7 linked regions of the Cricetulus griseus genome follow. The protein of the gene in region 5 interacts with the protein of the main gene of each other region in a pairwise test. Links are inferred from orthologs where the notes say so. Each region holds a gene or a part of one and is shown on either strand. Other genes may lie near its edges.

What was found.
Region 1: the proteins of Ccndbp1 (region 5) and Pimreg interact in binary tests that used the Homo sapiens proteins (3 or more experiments, as listed by UniProt). The two-hybrid records come from large-scale screens. The link is inferred for Cricetulus griseus from reciprocal best matches to the Homo sapiens genes CCNDBP1 and PIMREG.
Region 2: the proteins of Ccndbp1 (region 5) and Syf2 interact in binary tests that used the Homo sapiens proteins (3 or more experiments, as listed by UniProt). The link is inferred for Cricetulus griseus from reciprocal best matches to the Homo sapiens genes CCNDBP1 and SYF2.
Region 3: the proteins of Ccndbp1 (region 5) and Psmb10 interact in binary tests that used the Homo sapiens proteins (3 or more experiments, as listed by UniProt). The two-hybrid records come from large-scale screens. The link is inferred for Cricetulus griseus from reciprocal best matches to the Homo sapiens genes CCNDBP1 and PSMB10.
Region 4: the proteins of Ccndbp1 (region 5) and Nanos2 interact in binary tests that used the Homo sapiens proteins (3 or more experiments, as listed by UniProt). The two-hybrid records come from large-scale screens. The link is inferred for Cricetulus griseus from reciprocal best matches to the Homo sapiens genes CCNDBP1 and NANOS2.
Region 6: the proteins of Ccndbp1 (region 5) and Ampd2 interact in binary tests that used the Homo sapiens proteins (3 or more experiments, as listed by UniProt). The two-hybrid records come from large-scale screens. The link is inferred for Cricetulus griseus from reciprocal best matches to the Homo sapiens genes CCNDBP1 and AMPD2.
Region 7: the proteins of Ccndbp1 (region 5) and CUNH6orf226 interact in binary tests that used the Homo sapiens proteins (3 or more experiments, as listed by UniProt). The two-hybrid records come from large-scale screens. The link is inferred for Cricetulus griseus from reciprocal best matches to the Homo sapiens genes CCNDBP1 and PEX39.

What each region holds. Positions count from the first base shown.
Region 1 is NC_048600.1:85,882,554-85,887,304, forward strand, and holds the start of Pimreg (protein PIMREG), read left to right. Parts: upstream 1-1,681; coding exon 1,682-1,966; intron 1,967-3,567; coding exon 3,568-3,842; intron 3,843-4,255; coding exon 4,256-4,351; intron 4,352-4,751. UniProt on the Homo sapiens protein: During mitosis, may play a role in the control of metaphase-to-anaphase transition.
Region 2 is NC_048595.1:18,338,190-18,341,270, forward strand, and holds the end of Syf2 (pre-mRNA-splicing factor SYF2), read right to left. Parts: coding exon 3,029-3,081; intron 1,466-3,028; coding exon 1,300-1,465; 3' UTR 781-1,299; downstream 1-780. UniProt on the Homo sapiens protein: Involved in pre-mRNA splicing as component of the spliceosome.
Region 3 is NC_048596.1:182,223,616-182,228,272, reverse strand, and holds Psmb10 (proteasome subunit beta type-10), read left to right. Parts: upstream 1-1,789; 5' UTR 1,790-1,905; coding exon 1,906-1,961; intron 1,962-2,108; coding exon 2,109-2,196; intron 2,197-2,284; coding exon 2,285-2,382; intron 2,383-2,489; coding exon 2,490-2,630; intron 2,631-2,855; coding exon 2,856-2,971; intron 2,972-3,080; coding exon 3,081-3,139; intron 3,140-3,698; coding exon 3,699-3,850; intron 3,851-3,969; coding exon 3,970-4,081; coding exon of another isoform or gene 4,082-4,098; 3' UTR 4,099-4,148; downstream 4,149-4,657. UniProt on the Homo sapiens protein: The proteasome is a multicatalytic proteinase complex which is characterized by its ability to cleave peptides with Arg, Phe, Tyr, Leu, and Glu adjacent to the leaving group at neutral or slightly basic pH.
Region 4 is NC_048602.1:28,382,391-28,385,220, reverse strand, and holds Nanos2 (nanos homolog 2), read left to right. Parts: upstream 1-1,810; coding exon 1,811-2,209; downstream 2,210-2,830. UniProt on the Homo sapiens protein: Plays a key role in the sexual differentiation of germ cells by promoting the male fate but suppressing the female fate. Represses the female fate pathways by suppressing meiosis, which in turn results in the promotion of the male fate.
Region 5 is NC_048599.1:57,429,567-57,434,112, reverse strand, and holds the start of Ccndbp1 (cyclin-D1-binding protein 1), read left to right. Parts: upstream 1-1,447; 5' UTR 1,448-1,535; coding exon 1,536-1,635; intron 1,636-1,763; coding exon 1,764-1,823; intron 1,824-2,067; coding exon 2,068-2,147; intron 2,148-4,546. UniProt on the Homo sapiens protein: May negatively regulate cell cycle progression. May act at least in part via inhibition of the cyclin-D1/CDK4 complex, thereby preventing phosphorylation of RB1 and blocking E2F-dependent transcription.
Region 6 is NW_023276806.1:49,049,324-49,053,826, forward strand, and holds the start of Ampd2 (AMP deaminase 2), read left to right. Parts: upstream 1-1,494; 5' UTR 1,495-2,091; coding exon 2,092-2,179; intron 2,180-4,503. UniProt on the Homo sapiens protein: AMP deaminase plays a critical role in energy metabolism. Catalyzes the deamination of AMP to IMP and plays an important role in the purine nucleotide cycle.
Region 7 is NW_023276806.1:256,187,394-256,190,596, forward strand, and holds CUNH6orf226 (uncharacterized protein C6orf226 homolog), read left to right. Parts: upstream 1-1,655; 5' UTR 1,656-1,755; coding exon 1,756-2,139; 3' UTR 2,140-2,373; downstream 2,374-3,203. UniProt on the Homo sapiens protein: May be a peroxin involved in the PTS2-mediated protein import pathway.

The sequences.
Region 1 (4,751 bases), on a different chromosome or scaffold from region 5:
ACACATAATTAAAAACAAAAATAAAATCTTAAAAATAAAAAAGCATTGTCCCAGCATAGATATGGACTTCAAGAGCCCATTCCACATAGAGGAATACTCCCTGAGCCTAGACACAAAGGGGTGGGCCTAGGCCCTATACCAAAGGATACAATAGACTCTGATGACACCGTATGGAAGGCCTCACCATCCAGGGCAGCAGAAAGGATATGTGATAGGTAGGGTTTTAGTTGGGGGGGGAGTGGCAGGGGAGGAGGGAGGAGAGGAAACTGGGATTGTCATGTAAAACAATCTTGTTTCTAATTCAAATAAAAAATAAAAATAAATAAAATAAATAAAAAAGCAGAACATCAAAACAACAAAAATAAAAACTGGTACATGGGAGAAATCATAGCAGGCTGTTTGTTGTTGTTGTTGTTGTTGTTGTTGTTGTTGTTGTTGTTGTTGCTGTTGTTGTTGTTTTAAGCTTGCTGGGAAACTAAGGGAAAGATGGAAAGATGTCTGGGGCAAGACCAAGCGGAGGACCTGACTTAACGGGTGGAGAGGTGGTTCTACAGTCTGCCCCCTCCTCTGAGATGTGCTTTCTTGGGTGCCAGCCGGGTGGTGAGTTTGAGGAAATGACAGGGGCTGGGCGGTCTCTCAGGAAGGAAGAGGTTCAGGCGGGGGAATTTGAAACAAAACTTCCCAGGGAACGCAGAGTTCGGCAGTCCCAGCCGAACATTCTACAAAACTACTGGATGCGGGAAGTTAGGTGGGGTGAAGGACGGAAGGGATGCCCTGGGTGGCCGTGACCTGCGCTCTCGCAGCATCCCGCAGAGCAGCCTGACCGTAGGCTCTGGGAAGGGCCTGGACATGCGATGGACAAAGCGCGACCACTGGGAGGTGGCAAGGGGACTGGGCGGTGACTGACTGCTGGAACCTTTGCTGCGATCCAGGCGGGGGTCCCCAGAGATGTATGGGCGTGGCCCGGCCAATCCCAAAGCACGATTTATGGTCGCGAGAGAAACAGACCAATCGGAATTCAGGGGAGGTGGCGGCGGAGGGCTGATAGGGCCAATGGGCTGCGAGCACCAGGCTGGGGCGGGGCCGCGCGGAGTTTCAAATCTGCAGCGGTGGGCGAGGAGCGGGTGTTGATCTTCGGGTCCCCGGTATCAGAAAGGGAGGTGAGCGCACGGGGACATCGAAGGGCTTGGGGGGCGGGGTGCGGGGGGGACTCACGGGCAGCTCTGAGAGCGGAGCGGGCCAGGAGCTCTAGACAGGACCCGCAACGCAAAGGCGGTGTCTGGAAATTTAAAGCACCTTATCGGATTCGAGGCTTTGGCGGGGTGGCCAGAGTCTGCTCCATAGAGGAGCACGAATTTGTGAAAGAGCCGCTTGCTGATGGTGTCCTGCATAAGCGCCGAGACTCGGTAACCTCTGTGCCTCTCCGCTGAGCCTTAGTGAAGGAGGCTGGGATGGAAGTCAGACAATTTGCCGCCTTACAGTCGAGGCAGCTGCTGACCATGACGCCATGGTCATCTTTCTGGCATCCACAATTGCGCAACAGGCCCACCCAGATATGTTCCACTTCATCCCTTCCCCAGTTCCCAGGGTCTCTGACGCCTGGGAAATAGGGCCAGGGAGTATTCTGTTGACCTTTTGACCTCTCCAGGAACTAACCAGCAGAGGAGACTGGACCAAGCACATGGCGTCTCAGTGGCAGGGCATGACGGCCTCCATGCGCAGAAGATCACTCCTAAAAGAGGAACATCTAGAGAAGACGGTGACCCGGTCTGCTGAGGGCCATCAGGAGACTGGTCCCCTGGGCTCCCTGTGCAGACAGTTCCAAAGGAGGCTGCCACTGAGAGCTGTCAGCCTCAACCTCGGCACTGGCCCCTCCTGGAAACGCCTGGAAACCCCAGAGCCAGAGCAGCAGGGTCTTCAGGCTGCAGCTCGTTCCGCCAAAAGTGCTTTGGGTGCTATGTCCCAGGTAACAGTGACACCACTAGCCATTTGTTTACAGAAGTGTGCTATCCTCAGGAAGGCCCCAAGAATATAGAGTCAGTGGGGTCTTGGAGTTTGATTAGGTCCTGGCAGTTTCCCCCAACACCCTCAGTCATTCTGGCACATAATAGTTTTCCAACAAATCAGTGAGTGAGTGAGAAATCTCATGGAAGAAATTGATGCTCTCCGTGCAAGGTAACCTGCTGTGCCCTATGAGAGGAAATTGCAAGAAATGGCTAACTATAAAGAGATGCCAGTCTCAAGCTTAGTGGATAAAGACTCCCTAGAATAAAGACTTCCAAGATAACTCGGGAAAGGGGCGGTATATGGAGGCGCAGGACCAGGAGGATGGTGTGAGTCCAGCCTGGATGCTGAAGTGGCCTTGGTGTGAGGACTAAGTCACAGTGAGTGGGGACAGGGATGGTGTGTGATGACCCCTGTCTAGATTCTCCCAGTCAGACTACTTATTTCACTTTGGCTGTCAGCTACTTGGTGGGAAAAGGCAGAGGAGCAGGGCTTGCAGAAGGGTGCAACTTCTTGAGCGGTTCAGAGGCAGATTTGAGGGGTGGTGTCTGGGTGCAGTGTGCCCAGGAGCAGACATCTTTTTTAATGTTTATTTAAATGTTTGCGTTTATTTATGGGAGGAGAATTCACGTAATGGTATTCGTCTGGAGGTCAGAGAACAACGTGCAGAAGTACGTTCTCTCCTTCCACCTTGTGGATTCTGGGGATCAAACTCGAGTTGTCAAATTTTGGTGGCAAGAACCTCTACCTGATGAGCTATCTCACTGACCCCACACAGGTCTTTAACCCTGGAGTGGAAGATGCGGGCAGGTGTGCCCTGGAAAGGGCAGCAGCTATGAAAATGAGAATACCTGCAACGAGAGAAGCGGGGGGGGGGGGGCATCTCCCTGGGCATTCTGGTGGTGTGGAGAGAGAGCAGAGGCTCTTGGCAATGCTACAGAGAGGCCTCCTAGCCAAAGTCTAGCTCTGACTTGGAAGAGCCCTAAGATTGCTTTCAACAAATATAGCTCAGAGCAATGAAATGTGACATCTTGTCTAAGGTCACCCAACTCATCAAACTTACCTTGGGCCTTGCTCCAACCTCTGGGCTCTGATTTGCCAAGACAAAGGCAATCTAAGCAGAACTGTTTGATCAGGCCACATGTAAAAGATCCAAGGGTTGGGACTCGGCCCTGTAGATTATAGGGAGCCATAGAAGGGGTTATGATCAGAACTGTCATTGAAGGATCTGTGTGGACTAAGATGGAGGAGGGAAGAGAAGGAATGAGAGCAGAGGGGGATGGCAAGGGGTCCAGTAGTCAGGAAACTGTACCTCCCTCATTGTCTGGGTTAGTCTCTCCCAGAGGGCTTCAAATGTGGAGCCATCTTCTTGCGACTACCTGTTGTGTCCCTGCGCTGGGCCTCTGGGAAGGTCTTATAGGGAATCATACTCACTCTTAAGACTAACAGCAGACTGTATTAGTGGGACAGACCCTAGGATGGAGGGATAGCAAAAGGCTGGCAGCCCACCTTGGTCCTGTCTCTGCTAACCTCTGCTAACCTTCCCACATGAACCCATCACAGAGGATCCAGGAGTCCTGCCAAAGTGGCACCAAGTGGCTAATGCAAACACAGGTCAAAGTGAGGAGAAAGCGAGGAGCCCAGAAGGACAGAGGATCCCCGCCCAGTCTGAGCCAGAAGAACACTCGGCTATACAGGGCCAACCGGGATGCCAGAGTCGGGGGACATCCTCGCCTCTCTGGCCAGATGGGTCCACATGCCCATCGACGTCATCGGCTAAGGAGGGAGGCTGCCCTCCAGAGCCCCTGTTCCTCCACAGAACCTCTCTGCTCTCCCAGGCAAGTAGTCTCCGAGCCCAGTGTGATTTCCCTTTCTGTCCCACAAGTCTCCTCAGTGTTACCTAGGGTGAGGACACTCTGACCTGTCATATCCCTGTTCTGGCTCAGATCTGCCCCAGAGCTAGTGAGGACCTGAAGGGGAAAAAACCTCTCCAGAACTGTTTCCCTACCTGTGAAAGGGACAGGAGATGAGTTCTACTCCATTCTAGATAGGAAACATCTAGAAATCCCAGGCACTGGTGCAAGGCCAGCAGCAACCGTCATCTGACTACAAAATAATTTTCCATGGCTCAGCCTCACAGGTTTGCATGTCACATGCTGCAGTGAGGCTCTAGTGAGGCTTTCCCAGTCACCCGGGGTTGCCTGGCCCCTGCTCTGGGCTCTTGCTAACCCCTGCATCCTCTTGTGTTCAGTGAGTCTGACAGTGACCTAGAGCCTGTGGGGGCTGGAATCCAGCATCTCCAGAAGCTGTCACAAAAGCTGGACAAAGCCATCAAGGCTGAAGAGAGGTGAGCTGCATCCTGGGGTGCATCAGGGTGAAATGGCCATGGGCCCCTTGAGCCATACTGTATTTCTAGAGAGGGTTCTGGTTCCAACACCAATCTGCCACATGACCAAGACCAGTCCCTGTCCCTCTGGGCTTCAGTCTCCTGGGATGATGGTGGAGGATGCACTATGAGTCCTCCAGGCCTTGAACCCTCACCCTTGCCTATCACATTGAATTTCACATGTGGCTAGGTGGTTGCCTGCTTCCTGAGAGACATTCCCTTCCTCCAATACCTTTTGTGACTCCTCTATACCCTGTCTACCCATGGACTTGGCAAAAGTAACATGGACTCCCTGATCTATCTGCTCAGGATTCCAACCTGGAAGCAGAGCCTTTGAAAAATGTGTTCCCATTTGTATAAT
Region 2 (3,081 bases), on a different chromosome or scaffold from region 5:
GGCTTGTGGCTGACTTTGCTTTCTGAATCCTCAGGCAAGCTTTAATAAATCATGATTAAAAATATTATTTTTTCTTTAAAAAAATTCTTTTTCTTAAAAAAATTATTTTTTCTTTAAAAAATAAGTCATGATTAATAATATATCACCACAGGATAAAGCACTTGCCATGAAAGTGTGAGGACCAGATTTCAGACCCCCAAACCCATGCAAAGCCAGACACAGTAGTGCTCATGTCTGTAACCCTAGCATGCCTAAGATGGGGCAGACAGGAGACTGTCCAGAGCTCACAGCCAGCTAGCCTGGAGTCCAAGGAAGGCAAGGACTAACATCAAAGGTTGTCCTCAGACCTCCACTCACACAAAGCACACCTGGGCATAGTGGTGGGTGCACACTTGGTAGGAGGATCAGGAATTCAAGATCACCCTCAGCTTAGTGGGGTCAAGGCCAGCTTTGGCTAGATGTCTAAACAGAAAAAAAGTTAATTTTAACAAGAGTAATGAGTCATCAATGGCATCTTCAAACATTAAAAGTGAAGTATTTGTGGAATGTGCTGAGTTCCAGGGTTGGTGTTTTGTTTTCTAAGAGAAGGTCTCACCTAGCATTTCCGCCAACAGGAGGAACCTTCTCTCTAGACAGTTGTAATAAGTTTTTAAGTTCTTCTCTTTCAGAGACATGAAACTGAGCTGACCCTCGCTCAGCCCCTATACTGAAACATGTAACAAATGTTCCCAAGCCTGCAATGCACACATGCACTTGTTTAAATTAGACATGGTTCATGACTCTATTCCAAAGCATTTTATTGTTCTTTAAAAACGGAATGTGCATGGCTAACAGTCATGACCTCTGACCCCAGCCCCAGCAGACAGTGCCAGAACCCCAGGAGCGTCTGTCTTGAGGCCTCTGTTTCTCTGTCCTCACCTGGCCAGTCCGAGCCCAACTGTAGCTTCTGTCCACTTCCTGATGACACCCAAAGCAGGAGCGACTGCACCTGCACACACGAACCATCTAAGCCCCAAGTGATTAAAAGGTTACACGGTTATGCACATTTACAATACATAGAAAAATAATAATTAGGATTTATACAAATTAGATTTTTACAAAACAACATCACTACAAGAAATACATTTACATTCAAGCACGAAAATGTGAACATATGTATGTGGGAGTGAAGCTGAGAAAAGACTTTTATTTCAGAATACCGGGTGGGGAGGGAGGCACAGGGGAAGCGCTCCTTTACTGGACACACATGAAGTCTGAATTTGCCAGCATTTTCCTGCTTCTGTGTAGTTTCCCAAGGGCTCACACAGCTGTTCCTCTCTCCAGGTTCTGTTTAATTTCTGCTGTGTACTTCCCGTAGAACCTCTCTGCTTTCTTGTTGAACTTGGCATTCCTCTCATTGATGTAGTCAATGTCAGCATCGTCATTGTAGGGTCGTCTCCGGCTGTATTTGTCTCGCTTTTCAATTCTGGGGGAAGGGAGGGAGTTAGGAGGTTCAGAATCACCTTCTCCAGACCTCTTCAAGCTCAAACTCAAAGATCCACCTGTCACTGCCTCCCAAACGCTAGGATTGAAGGCGCTGACCACCAGGGCTGGTCTAACTGCCTTCTTATTTGATCTTAAAACATGGACAAAAAGTTCAGCATTTATAATACAACACCTTCAGGGACAACAAAAAAAAAAAAGCAGGAGCAGTTTTCATCAGCTTCAGGTCATGATCTAATTAACAGAAGCTCAGTGTAAGCGACCCAGCAACTGCAGCCTGTGCTCACAGCACTTCTGAACACGTTAAGATCGTGGAAGCCCACACCTGTAATCTGAGCGATCAGGAAGCAGAGGCTGGAGGACAGCCACCTGCTGGAGACCAGCCTAGGCGATATAATGAGAACCTGTCTCAAAAATCCAAAACAAGGGCTGGAGAGATAGCTCAGAGGTTAAGAGCACTGTTCTTCCAGAGGTCCTGAGTCCCAGCAACCACAGGGTGGTTCACAACCATCTGTTATGAGATCTGGTGCCCTGTTCTGGTGTGCAGACACACATGGAAGCAGAGTGTTCTATACATAATAAATAAATTATTTTAAAAAATCCAAAATAAAAACAATGTTTCTAAAGATGCTAAAAATAGGGACAAAAAGTGTGACTCTTGGCTAAAGCCCCCTAACAATTCTATCAGTGATGACAAGCACTGTGCAGAGTGTGTGGTATACACCGCTGCATCCTGGACCATCTGTATGGTCCTAAAACATAAATGCAGTCCCCTCTATCAGAAACAAATATGGTTTGTTGCCTAGGGAGGCAGAGGCAGGAGGATCTCTGTGAGCTTGAGGCCAGTCTGGCCTACATAGTGAAATTCTATCTCAAAAAAAAAAAAAAAAAAAAAAAAAGTAATAAATATCGCCGGAGCGATCTCTGCACTACTTGAGTTCCAACCCAGACTGGGCTACATGAGGCCCGTCCTAAACAAACAGGAACAAAATGCTAACTATTAATTTGAATTGGAAACCTACCCCTGGCCTTGGTATTGAAGCCTGGTCCAGCTGACTGGGATACTAGAAGGTGACGGAACCTTCATGTCAGGCTTATAAGAGGCGGGTGGTCGCCTCTTGTAAGGGTGTGCCCTTGAAAGGACATCAGGACTCACCTTCTCCCCACCAACCTGCCGGCTTCCTAGTCGTCACGAGCTGACTAGGCCTCCCAGCATGCACTTCTGCCATGACCCACTGTGCTACCACGAGCCCAAGACAATGGACTGAGCTCTAAAACCGGGAGCCAAAATAAGTTCTCGGAGGCATTTTGCTCCAGTGACAGAAAGCTGATGGGCACTGTGACAGTCTGATTGCATCAATATTCCTATGGGCTTAGCCTGTTACTTGCTGTCCAGCTTCAAAACCATCAGATTTGGGGTCAGAAATGAGCTGGTGTCAGCTCTGTGATCTTTAAGTCATCTAAGAGTATCAGCCTTAGATCCACACCTCACCCACTCTCTCTTGTGAAATATGGAACATTCTAGACTGCCCTTCTGAGTACTTACTGCTTTTCCAGATCTAAAACCATCCTGTCAATTTCCTGTGAGGAAGGCACATG
Region 3 (4,657 bases), on a different chromosome or scaffold from region 5:
ATGTACAGATTCTCATTGTTCTGGTTGAGCTGCTCAGAAAGCCTGCCCTACACCTCCCTTCACGGTGCCTGTGTCCATATTCATATGTAGGTACAGCTGTGGGAATGGGGCACAGTGAAATATGATTTGAAATAGACATGAATTCTGGTTGGATACAAGAGTTGAAAATAGGGCCAGGTATGTTGGTTCCTTCTAGCACTCAGGAGGCAGAGGCAAGCAGATCTCTGTAATTTTGAGGTCAGCCTGATATATATTGTTACAGGACAGCCAGAGCTATACAGAGAAACCCTATCTTGAAAAAACAAACAAAACAACAACAAAGTAAAATTGCCTGTTGCTGCATCCCAGCACTTGGGAGGCAGAGGCAGGTGGATCTTAGTTCAAAGCCAGCCTAGTCTACAGAGTGAGATCCAGGACAGCTAGGACTACACGGAGAAACCCTGTCTTGAAAAACCAAAGGGGGGAGGAGGTGGCTCAGAGGTTAAGAGCTGCTCTTCTAGAAGTCTTGAGTTCAATTCCCAGCAACCACATGGTGGCTCACAACCATCTATAATGAGATCTGGTGCCCTCTTCTGGCCTGCAGTTATACATGCAGGCAGAACACTATAATAAATCTTTTGTTTTTCTTTTTTTTTTAAGTAAGCTCTGGGATTCCATAGCCAGCATTTAGGGGCTGGAGAGATGGCTCAGAAGACCACTGGCTCCTCTTCCAGAGAACACAGGTTTAATTCCCAGCACCCACATGGCAGTTCACAACTGTTTGTAACTCCAGCTGTAGGGGATCTGATACCCTCACAAAGACATATAAGCAGTTGAAACACCAATGCACATAAAAATAAATAGATCAGAGCAGTGGTGACACACACCTTTAATCCCAGCACTTGGGAGGCAGAGGCAGGCAGATCTCTGTAAATCTGAGGCCAGCCTGGTATACAGAACTAGTTTCAGGATAGCCAGGGCTACACAGAGAAACCCTGTCTCAAAATAAATAAATAAATAAATAAATAAAAGTTTAGAGCTAGGCAGTGATTGCACAGGCTTTTAATCTCTGCATTCAAGCCAGCCTGGTCTACAGATTGAGTTCCAGGACAGTCAGGACTGCATAGAGAATCCCTGTCTCAAAAACCAAAAAGAAAAATGTTTAGGATCTGAAGGAATGACAATTCATCTAAAGAAGGCTTAATTTGGGGCTTCAGAGATAGCTCAGAAGTTAAGACCACTGGTTGCATTTGAAGAGGACCTGGGTTTGGTTCCCAGTACCCTCATGAAGCCCTCTTTTGACCTTGGTGGGCCCCTAGCATGCATGTTGACACATTCACTCATAAACATAATTAAACCTAAAAGGACTTAATTGATACTTTGTTGTTGTTGTTTGTTTTTTTCGAGACAGGGTTTCTCTGTGGCTTTGGAAGCTGTTCTGGAACTAGCTCCTTGTAGACCAGGCTGGTCTCGAACTCACAGAGATCCACCTGCCTCTGCCACCGGAGTGCTGGGATTAAAGGCGTGTGCCACCAACGACCGGCAATTTATACTTATTTTTAAAGCATTGTATGTGCATGTGTTTTGCCTGCATATCTACATGTACTTGCAGTGCTCACATGGAGGGGGGGCAGGGTGTCAGATGAGATGGGAATGGAGGAACAGAGGAGCACCATCCTGGCCAGGGTTACAGCATGCACTTCCTTAAGTTACCTGGGACTAGAAGAAAAAGATGAAAGTGAAACAGAACATACTAGCCTCTGAACTAGGGTGGAGGTGAAAGTGAAAGTGGGAAGTGTACAAAAAAAAAAAAAAAAAAAAAAAACACAGAAGCCGAAGCAGACGCCTTTCTGATCCCCTGGCTTCACTCTGTTCGTCTGGTCCACCCATCGACCCCCGGATCTCAGTTGGCTTTCCTGCCCCGAGATGCTGAAGCAGGCAGTGGAACACAGAGGAGGCTTCTCTTTCGAGAACTGCCAGAGGTGAAGGGGGAGTGGAGATTTGGTTTCGAGCAGCTGGTGCTCAACTGTAGGCCTTTTTTTTTTTTTTTCTTTTTGGTGTTTTGGGGACGGGTTCAAGGATCCTCCCTAGAATCAGAGCTGAAATGCGAGTCACCCCATTGTTTACAGGAATGCGTCCTTGGAACAGGTCCTCTCGGGCCTTCGGGTCCCTCATGCACGCAAAACCGGGACTACCATCGCGGGACTTGTGTTCCGAGTGAGCAGGGTGATAGGCCTGGAGGGCTAGAATGGCGCCAATGTGGAGAATATTGGGTGGGCATTAAGGCCGGGCTCTTCCTCTGCAGGATGGAGTTATCTTGGGCGCGGATACGCGGGCCACTAACGATTCGGTCGTGGTGGACAAAAGCTGCGAGAAGATCCACTTCATCGCCCCCAAAATCTAGTAAGAATTCCCCAGCCCAGCCCCCACTCTCAAACAAAAGCTGCACTGTCACGCCCTAGTCTGCCCCTGCACATCCCTGTCCACACCCGCCGTCCCTTTCCCCTCAGCTGCTGTGGGGCTGGAGTGGCTGCGGACACTGAGATGACCACGCGGATGGCAGCTTCCAAGATGGAGCTACACGCGCTGTCCACCGGCCGTGAGCCTCGGGTGGCCACGGTCACCCGTATCCTGCGCCAGACACTCTTCCGGTGAGGAAGTAGGGTGAAGGGGTCATCTGCAGGTAGGCGGGGTCGACAGGAGTGGGGGACCGAAGAGAGACCGGAAGAAGCCAGGCGGGGTCTAACCAAAATTGAGTTCCGGAAGAAGCAATTGTAGAACGCCAGGTCACAGGAAGGGGTGGGACTCAGATCGAGAAGTGGCATAAGGGGCGGGCCTGGCACCAGCTGGCAATATCAGCGCCCACTGGTCCACAGGTACCAAGGCCACGTGGGAGCATCACTGATCGTGGGCGGGGTTGATCTGACCGGGCCTCAACTCTATGGCGTGCACCCCCACGGTTCCTACAGCCGTCTGCCCTTTACTGCCCTGGGTGAGTGCTTCCATCCTTTCCCCACGAACTTTCCCCTGCCATCCTACCTTCAAGGTTTGTTTCCCAGATGCAGCTACAGCTGACTTCAGATGTCCCTTTCCACCTTCAGGCTCTGGACAGGATGCAGCCTTGGCACTGTTGGAGGACAGGTTCCAGCCAAACATGACGGTGAGCAACTTCAGCCCATTACTTCATGCTCACAGGTGGGGAGTGCCCCCCTCCCCCCCCCAAAAAAAAACCCTGGTCAAATATAGAAATAAGGCAGGCTTGTAGGGAAGAAGGTAACACCTGAGTAGGGACTGAATAATGTTGAAGGTCCAGTCGGGAATCAAGGTTAGATTGGTTAGTTGAAGCCCACAAAGGATCATTAACGGAAGGAAGAGGTAAAGCCCAGTGGTATATGAGGTTTCAGGTCTGGACTTTGGAGTGGGATAGAAATAGAGATAACTAAGACCCAGAGAGAAACTCAGTGACAGAGGACTACATTGGTGGGTGGGAGGATTGCTGGAAGGGGCCTTATAAGTGTAAGGGACACTGAGAAGTTTGTACACAGGACAGTGGGTGGAGGGAACACAGGGTTTTGGGAGAGGGGGAGTCAGAAGCTAAGGGAATGAAGGGAAAGGAGGTTGGGCTTGCACAAATGGCAAATTGTCTAGGCTTCAAGATTAACAAAATCCTCAGAGTGAGACAACACCAGGTTCATTTAGTGTCATTCACACTACCACAGCTGGAGGCTGCACAAGAGCTGTTGGTGGAAGCCATCACTGCAGGGATCCTGGGTGACCTGGGCTCTGGAGGCAGTGTGGATGCATGTGTGATCACTGCAACAGGCGCCCAGCTGCTGAGGACACTGAGCTCTCCCACAAAGCCAGTGCAGAGGTAGGAGCAGGGGGAGGGAGGACTATAGGGGGACTGCAGTCTTAGCCAGGGTGGCAAATGGGAGGTCTTCCAGAACAGGACAGGATACATGCTGAAAGGCTGGCCCTCCTCCCTTCTAGAACTGGCCGTTACCACTTTGCTCCTGGAACCACAGCTGTCCTGACCCAGGAAGTAAGACCTCTGAACCTGGAGCTTCTGGAGGAAACGGTGCAGACCATGGAGGTGGAATAAAGTGGCCTAAGACTTAGAGCTTGGTACAGGGGGAATAAACCCCGGAAATACAAACATTTAAACAGAAGACTGTGTCATTCTTTCTTCTATTTTACATTTATTTATTATGTATATAGTGTTCTGTCTGCATGTCAGCCTGCAGGCTAGAACACCAGACCTCATTACAGATGGTTGTGAGCCACCACCATGTGGTTGCCGGGAATTGAACTCAGGACCTCTGGAAGAGCAGCCAATGCTCTTAACCAATGAGCTCACGACTGTCTCATTCTTGAGGAGTGGGACAAGCAGCCATAGAAGCTTTGTGGCAGAGGTATCTAAGGACCCTGAGGCCTGGTTCCTGGCCTGCTCTTCATCTTTACCTCAGGAATCTGTCCATTCAGAATCCCAGGCCTAGCCAGCAGGCTTTGAGATGGAAAGCTACATCTTATCATCCCCAAACCTAACTCCACATGGTAGAAGCTTACCCCACAAATCGCCCCCGTCTTGTAAGACCCCATGGACAGCCCCTACTCATAGCCTTTCTCTGGCTTATCAGTGACCCCCTACTGCCACCAGGTCCACCCAGGATCCTAAGGG
Region 4 (2,830 bases), on a different chromosome or scaffold from region 5:
CACATACCACACACTTGTACAACACACACATGCAACACACAACACACACATACACAAAACACACATACACAACACACAACCATACACAACACACACAACACATATACAACATACAGAAACACAACACATACAACATATACACACATACAACACACACATATACAACACACACCACACAAATACAACACACATATACAAACACACATATACAACACACAACCATATTCGACACACACACACAAATGTTGAAAGAAAAAGCATACTAGGTCCATAAGCCCAGTGACTCATGCCAGTCCCTCCAATATTTGGGAAGTGAGGCAGGAGTTCCAGGCTAGCCCAAGCTACATCTCAAAAAGCAATTTCAAAAGAGAATTCTGGAAATACATCCTAGATTTGGGCTGTAATTTTTGTTTTGTTTATTTATTTATTTATTTATTTTGGTTTTTCGAGACAGGGTTTCTCTGTGTAGCTTTGGAGCCTGTCCTGGCACTTGCTCTGGAGAACAGGCTGGCCTTGAACTCACAGAGATCTGCCTGCCTCTGCCTCCCCAGTGCTGGGATTAAAGGCGTGCGCCACCAATGCCCAGCTTATTATTCTTAATTATGCATCTCTATATGCACATGAGTGCGGGTAACAGAGAGGTCAGAGAGGTTGTGTACTGCCTGACCTTGGAGCTGGGAACCAAACTTGGATCATACGTAAGAGCATTAAGCACCCTTAACTGCTGAGCCGTGTCTGGCCTCTGTCAATTGAGGCAGAAGCTTTTATAGGTGAGGCTGGCCTCAAACTGGCTACAAGTATCGAAGACTGGCTTTGAACTCGTGATCCTTACTGTTGCTCCTCCCAAGTGTGGGGTTTACAGGCAAACCACCTGGGGACAAAGCCCTCTACCACTGAGCAGACTGCCCAGCCCTGGTTTGTCGTCTCAGGACTCGGGACTCTCAAGACTGAAGCAGGACACAGAAGCTTGTTCCTAGGCCCTGAATTGAAGAATGGGAGATTCAGGGTCATGGACTATGTAACAAGACATAACACTGTTTCAAAATAAAAACAAACACAACAGAAACCCACATGGGCCAGTGCGGATGGCTCAGCTTGGCCTACTACCAAGCTTGACGACCCAAGTTTGGTCCCTGGAATCCACTTGGGGGAAGGAGCTGCCTCTTGCAAGTTGTCCTCCGATCCCCACATGTAAGCTGTGGCATGCCCCCACTATTAAGTAAATACAGGTAATAAAAAAAAAATTAAGCTGGACATGGTGCACGCCTTTATTTAGTCCTGGCACCTGGGGAAGTAGATTCTGAGTTTGAGGCCAGCCTGGTCTACGTAGCAAGTTCCAGGACAACCAGGGATGCGTAGTGAGACTCTCTCTCCAAAACCCAAAGCAAACCAAACCAAAACATTCAGTCAAATCATAAATAAGGTTCTGGATGACTCCGAGGGAAGAAGGAAAGGAGAATGAGCAAGAGACACGAGCAAAGCCCTAAACTGAACAGGAGGGAAACTGAGGCCCACGGACTAGAAGTTCCTGTCCAGAAAACACAGAGTGCCTTGGAGGAGGGGCCACCTGCAAATAAGCAGTTTTCCCGTCTCCCTGGGAGATTGGAGCTAGCCAAGAGCCCTGGGCTGGAAGTGGGCCCTTTAAATCTAAGCCCCACCTATGCTTAGAGGGGGCTCTAGGGGAGTATTTATAAGGGGGTGTGCCTTCTCTCTGCTCCACAACAGCCTGCTGCTCTGGGCCTCTGACCTCACAGTCCCTGGCCCCCTGGCCCTGCCTAGTGCCCACGGCCACCAGCCACACAGAGGTGTCATGGAGCTGCCACCCTTTGACAGGTGGAAGGACTACTTTAACCTGAGCCAAGTGATACTGGCGATAATCCAGGGCCGGAGCCAAAGACTGGAGGATGAGGGTGCTGAGGTGTCTACCCTCAGGCAGGAGAAGAGTGAGCAGGGGGTCAACGGGAGCCTGGCTACCCTATGCAACTTCTGCAAACACAATGGAGAGTCTCGTCACGTCTATGCCTCCCACCAGCTGAAGACATCTGAAGGTGTCGTGGTGTGTCCCATCCTGAGGCATTATGTGTGTCCTCTGTGTGGGGCCACTGGGGACCAGGCTCACACGCTCAAGTACTGTCCGCTAAACAGCAACCAGCAGTCTCTCTACCGTCGAGGTGTACGAAACTCCGCTGGACGCAAAGTCAAGCGTTAAGTAAGATCCATGAGGCCCCTATCACCCACACTCCCAAACCCTCCTTCCTCTGACCCTGGTACCCTCCCCTCTGCTCACCCAGCCCTATGGGGGTTCCTAGATCCCACTGTTCTCTAAATCTTTAGGATCCTGAGACATTGGGGGTTGCAGGCAGCCCAGTCCACCTGTCTCAGAGATTCCTGACGCTGTGAGAGCTGTTCTCCATGGACGGTGCATCTTGGCGGCTTCTTTTGGATTGTGACGGCCTGCTGATGACAACCGAGCTAGCCTTGTTGACTTCTCAGATCCCTGGTGAAGATCCCTTGGGGGAAACCCTTGGACTCTCCACCCTACAGAATCCCAGTGTGTCAGTTGTCAGAATCCTGGAACAGTGCCAGAGACTGACTGGGACCGCCACTACTAAGGACTTGATGTTCATACTGACTGTGAGACCATTTATCTTCATCTTCCTCAGCGTCTGCAGACTCGGGTTTCTCCACGGGACCATTCAAGTTCAGCCCTCAGTTCCTTGAACATGCCAGTCCAGCAGGAACTGCAGGAGGGTCAGAACCCTCTTGGAAGGCTGCAGGGCCTTTGTAGCTTCAGGCTGCCTCAAGTGAGCTGAAGCCCACAGCTCCCCCT
Region 5 (4,546 bases):
CTGAACATCTGTATGTTGGAAGTGTTAACTACTGATTCCTGCAGTGTGGACTGCAGAATCTAACAACCGATTCTTTCTTCCTCAGGAGGCAAAGAGCCCTGATCACAGAGATTCCAAAGGTGGGAGTCTCTGTTACTCAAGTACCTCAGAACTACTGTGTTTGTTAGGGTCATCCTGTGAAAAGCATCCAGCCCAAGCCCGGAATCCAGAAGGTGTCCAGAGTGCCATTTTATGCCTAGGGAACCTGTGGAGACTTGGGCTGGACCTTGACCACTCTAGAAACATTACTTCCCAGCCTGTTTTCCCACGGATTATGGGTTTTCTGCTTCCTTAGTTGGGGCCGTTTTTAACTAATCAAATAAATGAATGAATGATAAATATCACGAATGTTGGGCTGGAAAAATAGCATGGTAGTTAAGAGCATGTACTTCACGCTGGGCAGTGGTGGCACACACGTTTAGTCCCAGCACTTGGGAGGCAGAGGCAGGAGGATCTCTGTGAGTTCGACACCCGCCTGGTCTACAAGAGCTAGTTCCACAACAGCCTCCAAAGCCACAGAGAAACCCTGCCTCGAAAAACTAAAAAAAAAAACAAAAAAAAACAAAAAAAAAAACATGTACTTCCTGAGTTCAATTTCCAGCAACTATGTCAGGTGGCTCCAGGTTAGAGCCTCTGTGGGTCCTTTGCATTCATGTGTGCACAGACTTATACATAGCATAATAGAATATAAATATTAAAAGAAAGATCGGGGCTGGAGAGATGATTCACTGATTAAGAGCATTGGCTGCTCTCCCAGAGGACCCTGGTTCAATATCCAGCACCCACATGGCAGCTTTCTATAACTCCAGTTCTAGGGAATCTGACACCCTCACACAGACATACATTCAGACAAAACACCAATGCATATAAAAATTTTTTAAAAAACTAAAAAGAAATACCACACGGATCTGTACTGTAGCTAAACATTGGAACCATGGTGTCTGGGGCTTGGAGAAAGAGTCACAACGGGGATGTCACAGGCAGACTTGCCAGCAAAAAACTCAAGACACATAAAATGGCAAAAAAAAAAAAAAAAAAAAAGTGGTCAGGTCTCTAGTAGGTCAGAGAACGCATGGCTGGGTCTTTAGAAGGCGTGGCAGGTGTGGCAGGGTGTCAAGGTGGGGTGGGGGAGAGGGGCAGGGCCGGGCGCCTGGACCCGAGTCCCAGTCTGTAGGCCTGCTGGGAACCGGCAGCCTGGTGAAGGAGGAGTGTCTGAGTCTCTAGGCCCCGCAGGGGAGCTGTGGGCGGGTCTCTAGGAAAGGGAGGCGTGGCCTGATCTCTAAGTGGATCGGGCAAGAGTAGGCGGGTCTGTAGGCGGAGGGAGGCGTGGCCTGACGGCCTGGCTGTCCGGGAAGGCGGGGTCGCGTCACTGAGGAGGAAGGGGCGGGGCGTGATGTGTCTTGCCGGAAGCGAGAGGTGTTTTCGGCACCGGAAATACAGCGGCAGGGGCCGAACGGCTTAAGCGTCCTAGCTAAGGTACGCTGTGAGACGCTGTGATGGCGAGTTCGGCAGCCGCAGCCTCCTTCCTTGCTCCGACTCTGGAGCAGCTCCGGCACCTGGCAGCGGAGCTGCGGTCACTTCTGCCTCTAGTGAGGGGTGAGTTGTGGGAATCTGAGGCCCGGGGCTCCGGGTAGGGCGGCGGTCGGGCGTCACGTCAGGTGACGTGTCTTTTGCTCACCTGTCTTTTGCTTTGGTGGTCCGGCCTCCCACGCTACACCCTCAAGTCGGCGAAGCCCAGGAGACAGCCGAGGAATTTAATCGAGAGATGTTCTGGAGAAGACTTAGTGAGTTTCTCTGCCGTTGCAGACTCTTCCCTCCTCACTCCTGCCTCCTAACCTCTTTCCCCTCTGTTGTCCCAAGAGGAGGTGACAATCCCTCCCGGCCTCGGGACGATTTCTGGAGTTGTTTTGGAGTTGTTTATGATGATAAGGGTGGAGAAGGGATGCGTTATCTTAAAAAATCCGTGTAGTGGTTGCAGCTTCCACCTTTAACACTAACTTTGGTATCCGCCGCCTCTACCACCCCCAGATGAGGCAGCAGTGAACCTGTCAGGGGAAGCCACGATTCTGACCACACTTTTCTCCCGACTTCCACTGCCGTCTCCACGGGTGAGCTTTACTTCCTGGGATTTGTGTGCTGCCTCTAGTTTTCTTGTCACCCTTTACCCTCAAGCCACGTTTATTTTCTTCATTTATTTAATGAGATTATAGTTCTTACCGCATAGGATTGTTGTGAGGACCAAATAGCCAAGTGCAAACGGTAGAAAGGTCTTTCAAATTCAGTCAGGTTAGTTCCTCGGAATTTTAAAAGCTCTTTTTGATTTATAGCTGTTTCTCATACATACTCCCCATCTGACAGATGAGCTAGTAAGTTTAGAGACTTGGATCAAGATTAATAAATGGTGGAGGTGGAGTTAAAAGCCTACAAAGTATCTAAGCAACAGCTATTGCACAATACCCTTTAGTATTAAACTGTTTACCTTTTTATTTAATTACTAATATGTGGATAAAGTTCAAAAGATACCAGAGTACACTAAAATACATGTATATATCTTCCCACCCCAGTTTATCTTTCTATTTCGTTCCCATTTCCTTCTGTATTACTCCATACAATTTGTTCTATGTATATATACATCGCTCTGTGTGTGCTTCTTTTTACACAGTGGTTAGATACTATAAGCATTGTTCTAGACCTTTTAAAAAGTAATATAGCTTAGAAGTTGACTTTTTTTTTTTTTTTTTTTTTTTTTTTTTGGTTTTTCGAGACAGGGTTTCTCTGTGGCTTTGGAGACTGGAACTAACTCTTGTAGACCAGGCTGGCCTCAAACTCACAGAGATCCGCCTGCCTCTGCCTCATGAGTGCTGGAGTTAAAGGCATGGGCCACCACCATCCAGCTAGAAGTTGATTCTTAATGACACATAAAAAAGTTGCTTAGTTCTTTGTAATACTTGATGTAGAGTAACTATAGCTATAAACAATAGCCCAGGTGGACATTTTAAACTGTTTCTAACTTGCAACTATTGTAAATGGCACTGTAGTGAATTGTCAGTTATAATCTTTGCATACATATATGTATTAATAGAAAAAAATTCCAGAGGTGAACTTACAGGAACAAAGAATTAATGCATTTTAAATAATCGTTTATTATGTAACCAAAAGTAAAGCTGGATATTGGCTGTGATCAACCAACATGTGAATGCCCTGTGCCATATTTTTCTAGAGCTACATGTACTTCAGAGTAGTTTATTTTTTTGTTAAATGTTTATTTCATGTCTATGAGTATTTTGCTTGCATGTATGTGCATATGAATTCTGTGCTTAGTATCTATCCATGGAGGCCAGAAGAGGGCACTGGATTCTCTGGAACTAGAGTTAAGGATGGTTGTGAGCTTCCATGTGGGTGCTGGGAACTGAATCTGGGTCCTCTATAAGAGCAGCCAATGCTCTTAACCTCTGAGCCATCTCTCCAGCCCAAAGAGTAGGTTATTTTATGACGACATAGTCGTTGCCTCAATTTTCATAGTAGTTTCAATAACTATGTATCCAGATGTTGTATTTTTGTTTATTTTTTCACTCACATATAACTATACAAATACTCTACTACTGAGCTACACATGCATGAATGTTTTCTTTTGGTTTTATTGGTTTTCTAGAGACATGGTTTCTCTGTGGAGCTCTGGCTGTTCTGGAACTCACTCTGTAGATCAGGCTGGCTTTGAACTTGGAGATCTGTCTGCCTCTGCCTCCTGAGTGCTGGTATTAAAGGTGTGCGCCACCACCTAGTATGAATGTCTTAATGTGATAGAAAGTTCCTTTTACAACATAAAATTATAAAAATACATACCCCTCTTTCCTGTACTTTTTGTTGTGTTTTTTTTTTTTTTTTTGTTTGTTTGTTTTTCCAGACAGGGTTTCTCTGTGTAGCTTTGGAACCTATCCTGGCACTTGCTCTGTAGACCAGGCTGGCCTCGAACTCACAGAGATCCACCTGCCTCTGCCTCCCTAGTGCTGGGATTAAAGGCATGAGCCACCGACGCCTGGCTCTTTTTGGTTTTTTGAGATAGGGTTTCTTTGTGTAGCTCTGGCCATCCTGGAACTAGCTGTATAGACCGGACTGGTCTAGATCTCAGAGATCCATCTGCCTCTGCCTCTGCCTCTGCCTCTGCCTCCTGAGTGCTGGTACTGGGATTAAAGGTGTGTGCCACTACTGCCTGTCCCCTGTGTATCTTAAAACAATGGTTTTCAAATTGTGGGTCACGACCCTTTTGTTACGGTGAGACAACAGGCGTCATAATAGCAGATATCTAGCATATCAAATATTTACATTATAATTCATAACATTAGCAATGAAAATATTTTTATGGTTGGGGCTACCACAACATAAGAAACTGTATTAAAGGGTCACAGCATTAAGAAGAACCACAGTCTTGAGCAATTTGGCAGTAAGAAAAAAAGATAAATTGTATGACAGCAAGCAAAGACGTAGTAATTGCCTGATTCAGTAGTTG
Region 6 (4,503 bases), on a different chromosome or scaffold from region 5:
GGGAACAATTGCTTCTCATAAAGGTAATTACTTTCATAAAGGTAAGGGGACTTCCCCTTACAGGTTTCCTTTAGGTAAGACTGGCCCTTGAATATGGGAATGCTGGTTTGGGAGGGCCGGCTGTGGCCCTGTGCAAACACTTAACCCACAAGGAGAGTCAATGAGTTGCATTAAGGATCCCAGACCAAAGCAATGTTACATGAACACTGATTGGGTAGTAACTTACAGGCCAGACACAGGTCTAAGCACTTATAATTAACTCACTTATCTTCACCAGTATCATATAGAGCAGATACTCATTTTACAGAAATAGCACCGAGAATTTCAGCGCCAGTCAGGAAGTAGGTGGCGATGCCTGAATTTGAACCTAGACATTCTGGCTCGTCTAACCTCAACATAGAAACTAACGTGGGATGAGGAAGCCAGCCTTCAGGGCCAATGGCTAATAGAAGGAAACAGACTCAGGTGGGAATGCGGGGAATGCAAGGGCAGGGCTTCTGCTTAAAATGGATTCTGGGACCCTAATAATAGCTTCCTGACTTGTGCCAGGCATTGTGCAAAGGGACTTTACATTCAATCTTCAGTAAGTCCTTTGAATGAGACACTATCATTACCTTATTTCATCTTACTGATGAGGAAACTGACCCACAGAAGCCGCCCAAGACGGAAGGGCCAAGCCAGGCCAACCCTGGCCGGGGTGGCGCCCACGTGGCGTTAAGGAAACAGGGAAAATGGTGGGGGTGTGGCCAGAGGGCCGGGGGCGTGGCCGAACGGGGCGTGACCGCAGACTTGGCGGGGCCTGGGGCAAGCGAGGTTGGCGCGCAGCCGGGAAGGTTTAGGCGGGGTCGCACCTGTTGCGCGACTGCCCCACGGCCCCGCCACGGGATTGGGATCTCTAATTGATTCCCAGAAACTAGTGAAAGAACCCTAGGCGAATTCCGGGTTCGGTTTTCTGTGGAGCACGTGGCCTGCTTCCTCTTGAGTGCGGGCTGGGGGTCGCGACACCGGGGTCTCCTGAGGTCAGTCTGGCAGCTGAAGCCCGTGGGAGTCCGCCTTCGTCCAGCTGGCCATTTTGAGAAGCAGCCTTCCTTCCCGCCTCAGTGCGGGTGCAGGGGCCAGGGGCGCGACTTCGCCCCTGTGGGGCCCTCTCCTCTCCTCAGCCGCGCTTCCCCGCGGTGTAGACTAGGCAGCCTCCCTGGTACCACTCGGGACTCGGGCAGTATGGCCTCAGGTAAGCGTGTGGCGCGTGTGTTGGCGTTAGAGGGATCCCGGGACAAAGGTGCCTTGTCCGGGTGACAAGAGGGTCAGGTCTTGCTAGGAGTGTGAGCAGACCCTGGAAAGGTCTAGGGAAGCAGACCTTGAGTGTGCGGGCAGAGAGACAAGCAGAGGAGCCTGGGGTCTTTCCCACAGACCTCAACAAGACCCTGCCTCCGGCTCTTCCTGTCTTCCTAGGAGGACTTCCAGCTTCTGCCGGTCAGTGGAATTTTCCCAAGACAGGTTCCTCCCTTCTGGGCTCGAATTCTCAGTTCAGCCTCCTTCTCCTGGGCTGTCCCTAGAGCTGGGGTCAGATGGAGAAGAAAAGAGTGGGTTCTGCCCCCGAGGCTCTGGGTTTTCTTGAGTACGCTTGCCCTCTCCCTGGAGGAAATGGGTTTTGAGGCTGGAGAAGCTCAGGCTGTATTCTTATTATTTTTCTCTCTGGCTGAGCCTAGCCTGGACTTTGGCTTCTTTGCCTTGAAGCTTTGGCAAGGGATGAGGGTTCCGGAGATGGGGTGAGGGTGGTGCAGAGCTGCGAGCTGGCGCTGCTCCATCTGTTTTCTTTGCGCCCCCACCCCCACCCCAGTCCCAGCCACCATCAGTCACGTCACTCTAGGGACTGGAGTGGGAAGGGAGGGATAAGGGGCAGGATGGAGGCCCCACTCCCCGAGGTTGCCTAGACAACATCAGAAATCGTGGCCAGGGCCTCTTCCGCCTGCGGGGCGCTGCTTCCTGCATCAGTCACTCCCGCTGGGGGCGGGGCGGAGGAAGGGGTTGGATGTGAGAGAGGTTGGCCCCAGCTGGTGAGGTTCCTCCGCTGTAGCCTTGGCCCCAGCCATGGCATCCTATTCTGGCCCAGGCAAGTCCAAGGCCAAATATCCCTTTAAGAAGCGGGCCAGCCTGCAAGCTTCCGCTGCTGCTCCAGGTAAGTGTTCTTGGCTTCAGGCATGGGGCTCCTCCATCTCCTCCTGTCCAGGCCACCTAGTGCCTCAGAGAGGGCCCCCTTCTGCAGCACCCTCTCTGCAGTGATGCCTCTCTGCTTCGGTTCTAGGGCTGACTGACTGGGTTGGGTGGCGCAGGGAGTGGGGGGGGGGTCTGAGGTTTCCATGTCAGGGATGCTGCCCTCCGTAACAAGGAGTGGGTGTGGATGTGTGTGCACAAGAGGCGTATATGCACACGTGTCTGCTTGTGCAGATGCTGAGACTGTGTGTGAAGTGTGTGAATGAAGTGGGGAGGGTGTGGGACTGATGACTGCTTTGCGGACTGGCTACCCTGTTTGGTGCCTGTGCCTACAGCAGGCAGGCTCAGGTTGTTACTCTTTCCAAGGCCCTAGATCTAGAACTCCCTCATCGGTGAGTGACATCTGGGGTCATGCATTGCTGGCACATACACCAGAGGTAGGGCTCCGTTGCTACTATCCTTGCTGTTTGCTTGTTCCTGGTCTGTGTTGTGAGCCTCTTCAGGAGAGCGGCAGCCCTTGAGATGTCTGGTGGGCTGTGTACCTTGCACCCTTGGGTTTGGCTCCTACTATGTGGGCATCTCCGCACCATTTGCAACTGGTTGTGTGGTGGCGAGTGTCCATCCTGGTGAGGACTTAGCTACTTGAGCTTGTGCTTCCAGGGGTGTGGGTGTCTGCAGCTCTCAAGTGTTCTGGCTAAAGAAAAACGCCTTGGTGACTGGATGTTGTTAACCCCTCATAGCTCTATTTACACCCTGACTACCCTCCTTTAGCTTGTTTTTATGCTGCCAAAAATGCTTGGCTAGGGCTTTGTGTTGTGCTGACCTGTGTGCTCAGATCTGTGTCTCAGACTGTGTGTTTGGATCTGAGTCTTCCGGGTGTATGCCCTGGAGCTAGTTCTGTGCTGGTTACTCTATTGCTGAGCTAGAGACCCTTAGATGGTTAGACCCTGAGAGCATCCTGTCCCTGGGGTTGAGGCCTAGTGAGGCAGTCTTGATAATGAGTGAGGGGCTAGTCAAGAGGAAGGACTAGGCACCAGAATCTTGGAGCTGATGGGGTGATCCCCCCTTGGCGTTGGGCTGTATGTATCATCATATGTATGTTGTGATGCCAACTTTTGGCACTGAACCAGGGAGACGGGATCTGGCATGAGGGAGTATGGAGGTTGTTGCTGGTGTGTCACCTCTGGTGAGTCTAGCAGTTGTTTGCTTTTGTGTGGCAGACTAGGAAGATGACTGTGGCTGCTGGAACCCTTCCTGCTCACCCAGCCCTGCTCTGTAGGCCCAGGGTTACCTGACAGGAAAGGGTTTAAAATGAGGGCTTTTAACTTCATTTCTGCAGCTCTGTGGTCTACCTTCAGGGACTTAGAAGTGGTTGGTGGCTGGGTGTAGTGATGCACACCTGTAATTAGCTAGTTGGGAAGCTGAGGCAGGAGGATCATGAGTTCCAGGTATGCTTGGACACTTAGTAAGAGCCTGCCTGAAAGTAAAACTAGAAAAGGGTGAGGATATAGCTCGGTAGTAGAGGACTTCCTTAGCACACACAAGGCCTCAGGTGGTCCCAGGAATGCAAAAGACAGAAAACAAAACCCCCAAATGGTCTGGAGCCGTCTTTAAGAGCATAGGTAGGATCAGGGTGGTTTGTTTTGTTTGTTTGTTTCTCTGTGTGGTGTCCTAGAACTTGCTCTGTAGACCAGATTGGCCTCGAGCGCAGAGATATGCCTACCATGTGCTGCAATTAAAGACATGCACCACCACTGCCTGGCCTATGATCTAGGTTCTTGATAATCAAAGACTTGAAACCCTAGGTTGGGTGGGTAGGTATTGATCTTTGCCTCTTCCTCCAGTTCTTTCTTGCAAGGGAGAGCCTCTCTACCCCTACAATATCCCTTTCTCTTCACTGCTTTCCCCTACTTAGCAGCCTTTACCCCTACACTGGATTCAGAAGGCCTCTCACCCTCCTCAATGAAGGGTCTCCATTTAAGTGTTTGGAGCGTCCTAGGAATTTCTGATTGTAGCCCCATGGGCTCAGAGTCCTAAGCTTTACAGAACTCTTGTAGATCATTCCCCTGTGAGTCCTGGGGCTGTGGCCAGATAGGACAAGGCCACTTCTCACCCATTTATAGCCTCTGTCCAGAGGTTAAGGCAAGCAAATAAACAAAAGTAGAGTCCTATGTGTTTTCCAAATGCTGCTCCCATGTTCCAAGTTACTCTTCCTGAGTAGTTTGCCCCTACCCTGATAATGGACTTGGGACTGGCTTGTATGCTAAGAAGCCTCTGTAACTAGCTCCT
Region 7 (3,203 bases), on a different chromosome or scaffold from region 5:
TGTGTGTGTGTGTGTGTGTGTGTGTGTGTGAGACCAGCCTCTGGGGACAGGAGCAGTAGGAGAGGAAAGGGATGGATGGAGGGAGGGAGGGTGAGAAAGAAACAGAGAGAGGGAGAGAAAGAGAATGGGGAGTGGGGTGGTGGTGGTGGTGGAGATAGAGAATGGGAGGTGGGCAGGGCCCTTTTAAAAGGGAACAACGGAGTGAATACCCACAGGTGGCATATTCACTAAATGCTCTTAGTGGCTGCAGCTGAGGGCATACCCTGTCAGGACCTCAAGGACAGGCCAGTACAGAGGGAGGCGCCTCCGAGGAGGAAATGCCTCCTTGAGATCCAGCTGTAAGGCATTTTCTCATTTAGTGATCAATGGGGGAGGGCCCAGGCCATGGTGGTGCCATCTCTGGGCTGGTACCCTCTGGGTTCTATAAGAAAGCAGGTTGAGCAATTCAGGGAAAGCAAGCCAGTAAGCAGCACCCTCCATGGCCTCTGCATCAACTCTGGCCTCTGGGATGTTGCCCTGTTGGAGTTCCCGTCCTGACTTCCTTCAGTTGTGCACAGCGATGCGGAAGTGTAAGCTGAATAAACCACAGTTGAGTTTTAGTAATGGTGTTTTGCTGAAACAATAGAAACCCCAAGACACAGGGGATCCCCAGAGCAAACTGGCTAAAGAAACAAGCCATATAAGTTCTGGGTTTTTGTGAGAGGCTCTATGTCATTAAAGTGGAAGAATAATGTAGAATGATCCCTGGCATCCACCCCACATGCATGCACACTGTGTGTCTTCACACCACACATACACATGCGCGCGCGCGCGCGCGCGCACACACACACACACACACACACACACACACACACACACACACACAGTTATTGTGAGTTCAAGGCCAGCCTTGGCTACACGAGACCATGAAAAAAATCTGAGGCAGGGGATAAAGTCTCACAGTCCTACCTGCTGAGCCATCTCACCCACTTTTTCTGCTTTTCACCTCGTGAGTTTCATAGGGTTGCTTACCGAGAGGGGTCCTTTTAAAATTACTTTAACTAACTTTAAGTAACGCTAGGCGTTACTTACTGATTCCTGGGGTGTTCCTGATTAATCTGTTTGTTGATTATTTATTTACCTCTTTCAGCACGTAGCACAGGATGGTTCCATGGTCCCAGCATATAGCATTACAGGCACGGGCCACCGCATCCTGTCCAGGCTAGCTTTGATAATTTCAGAAACCTGAGCCTCGGAGTCAGGATGTGCAGCTCAGCACACACTGTGGGAGATGGTGAGAGTCCTTGTCTCAAAACCAAAATAGGCGACAAACACCCAAACAACAGTGAAAACAAACAACAACAACAAACAAACAAACAAACCCCTGGGATTTGATCCTTAGTACCACAATTAACAAAAGAAATGTGAAGAGAATGCGCGCTCGGGAGAAGCAGACAGATCACAGCCTGGAATACAGAGCGAGCAAATCCTGCTGTAGCTAGCCTGTGAGCGCAGAAGGGAAGCGTGTTTTTGGAGCCCCGCCTCAGCACAATTGTTGTCCCACTGGGCACAAACTTCAGGTTTTGACTGGTCCTTTTAATAAAAAAAAAAAAAAAGAAAAAAGAAAAACCCTTCTAAGTACATGCCACTTTGTAGGATGAGAGCTGGGGCGTTCACCCAGCCTGCAGCTTCGGCAGAACAGCTCAGGTTCTGGAGATCTAACCTGGGCTAGACTACTTGGTAAGGTTTGAGGCCTCCCCTCTTCCTTCCTCGAAAATGGTTGCTCCCACACCGCCCGGAAGTACTCGTGGTCGGGTCCCGGGAGCGGACTGGTGGCGGGACATGGAGCTGCGGGGTCGTGCCGGCAGTCCAAGCGGAGCACTGGCGTCCCCGGAACCGGCTCAGGCCTCGGTGACCCTGGCGCAGCTGCTGCAGCTTGTCCAGAAGGGCCAGGAGCTCCCGGGTATAGAGAAACCTCACATCACCGTGATCCCCGGCGAACCCACGGCGTCGCTGCTCCCCCGGAGGCCCAAGCCCTGGGAGGACGCGGGCTCAGCCGCATCATCCCACACCACCGCCCTAGACGCGTGCGCGCCATCCCCGACCGTCGAGGAGCCGGCCTGCTCAGCCCAGCACGGCGGAGGCCCAGCGGGTTCCTGAGCTCGAGGGCTTTTGCAGCCGTGATCCAGAGGGCGTGACTGGGTCCTGCATGAACCTGAGGGTCTGGACAGCTGCTAGCTTTACTCATCTTTCTGCATCTGCTGTGATTTGTCCCAACCAGACCCAGTCCTCCCGGGAGACAAATGTTGCCCAGGAATTTCGGGGTCGGACGCCGAGTTTCAACTTCATACTTGTAATCTGTCTGCAGAATTGAAACAAGTCTATTTTACCACCTGCGGTGTCTCTTTCATTTGCCACAGTAACGGGCCATGACCTCCTGATGACACTGATAAAGTGAACTGGAGGGCCAAAAGCTAATTTTGGCTACTACTAATTTTGTAGTTATTTGGGTTTGATAGAACTCGGTTCTGAAATGATGCAACTGAAATCCTTATTTTGTCTGTTTGACTTCTGAGACAGGGTTTCTCTGTGTAGCTCTGTCCATCCTGGAGTTCACTCTGTAGACCAGGCTGCCCTCTGTAAACTTCCCATTTTATTTAAAGTTGAATGGCAACACAGCCCTAGAAACCCTGGATCTTGGAACCTGCTACTCCTACCACGTAGGTCCCAAAAATCATGCTCTTGGCCTGGCAGGGTTACCTACTGCCACCCTCAAGGCTGTAACAAGAGTTAGACACCTGGAGCTGTCAACTGCCACGTGGGTGCAGAGACTCACAACACCAATGCTCTCCATCCCAGCCCCTTCTTAAGACTGTTGTCAGATGGTGGGGCTGGCGGAAAAGGCCCTAGCCACTGAGCCATGCTTGGGCTCCTGAAATCTTTTTTTTTTTTTTTTTGAGACAGTTTCTCCACATAGCCCTGCATAGTGTTCCCTCATTCAGTACAATACACATGGAGTGTTCCTCCAAGCCTGCAATGCAGTTTTTTTTGTTTTTGGTTTTTTCGAGACGGGGTTTCTCTGTGGCTTTGGAGGGTGTCCTGGAACTAGCTCTTGTAGACCAGGCCGGTCTCAAACTCACAAAGAGATCCACCTGCCTCTGCCTCCCGAGTGCTGGGATTACTGACATGTGCTATCAGCATGGGCCTTGACTCATATTTCTCAG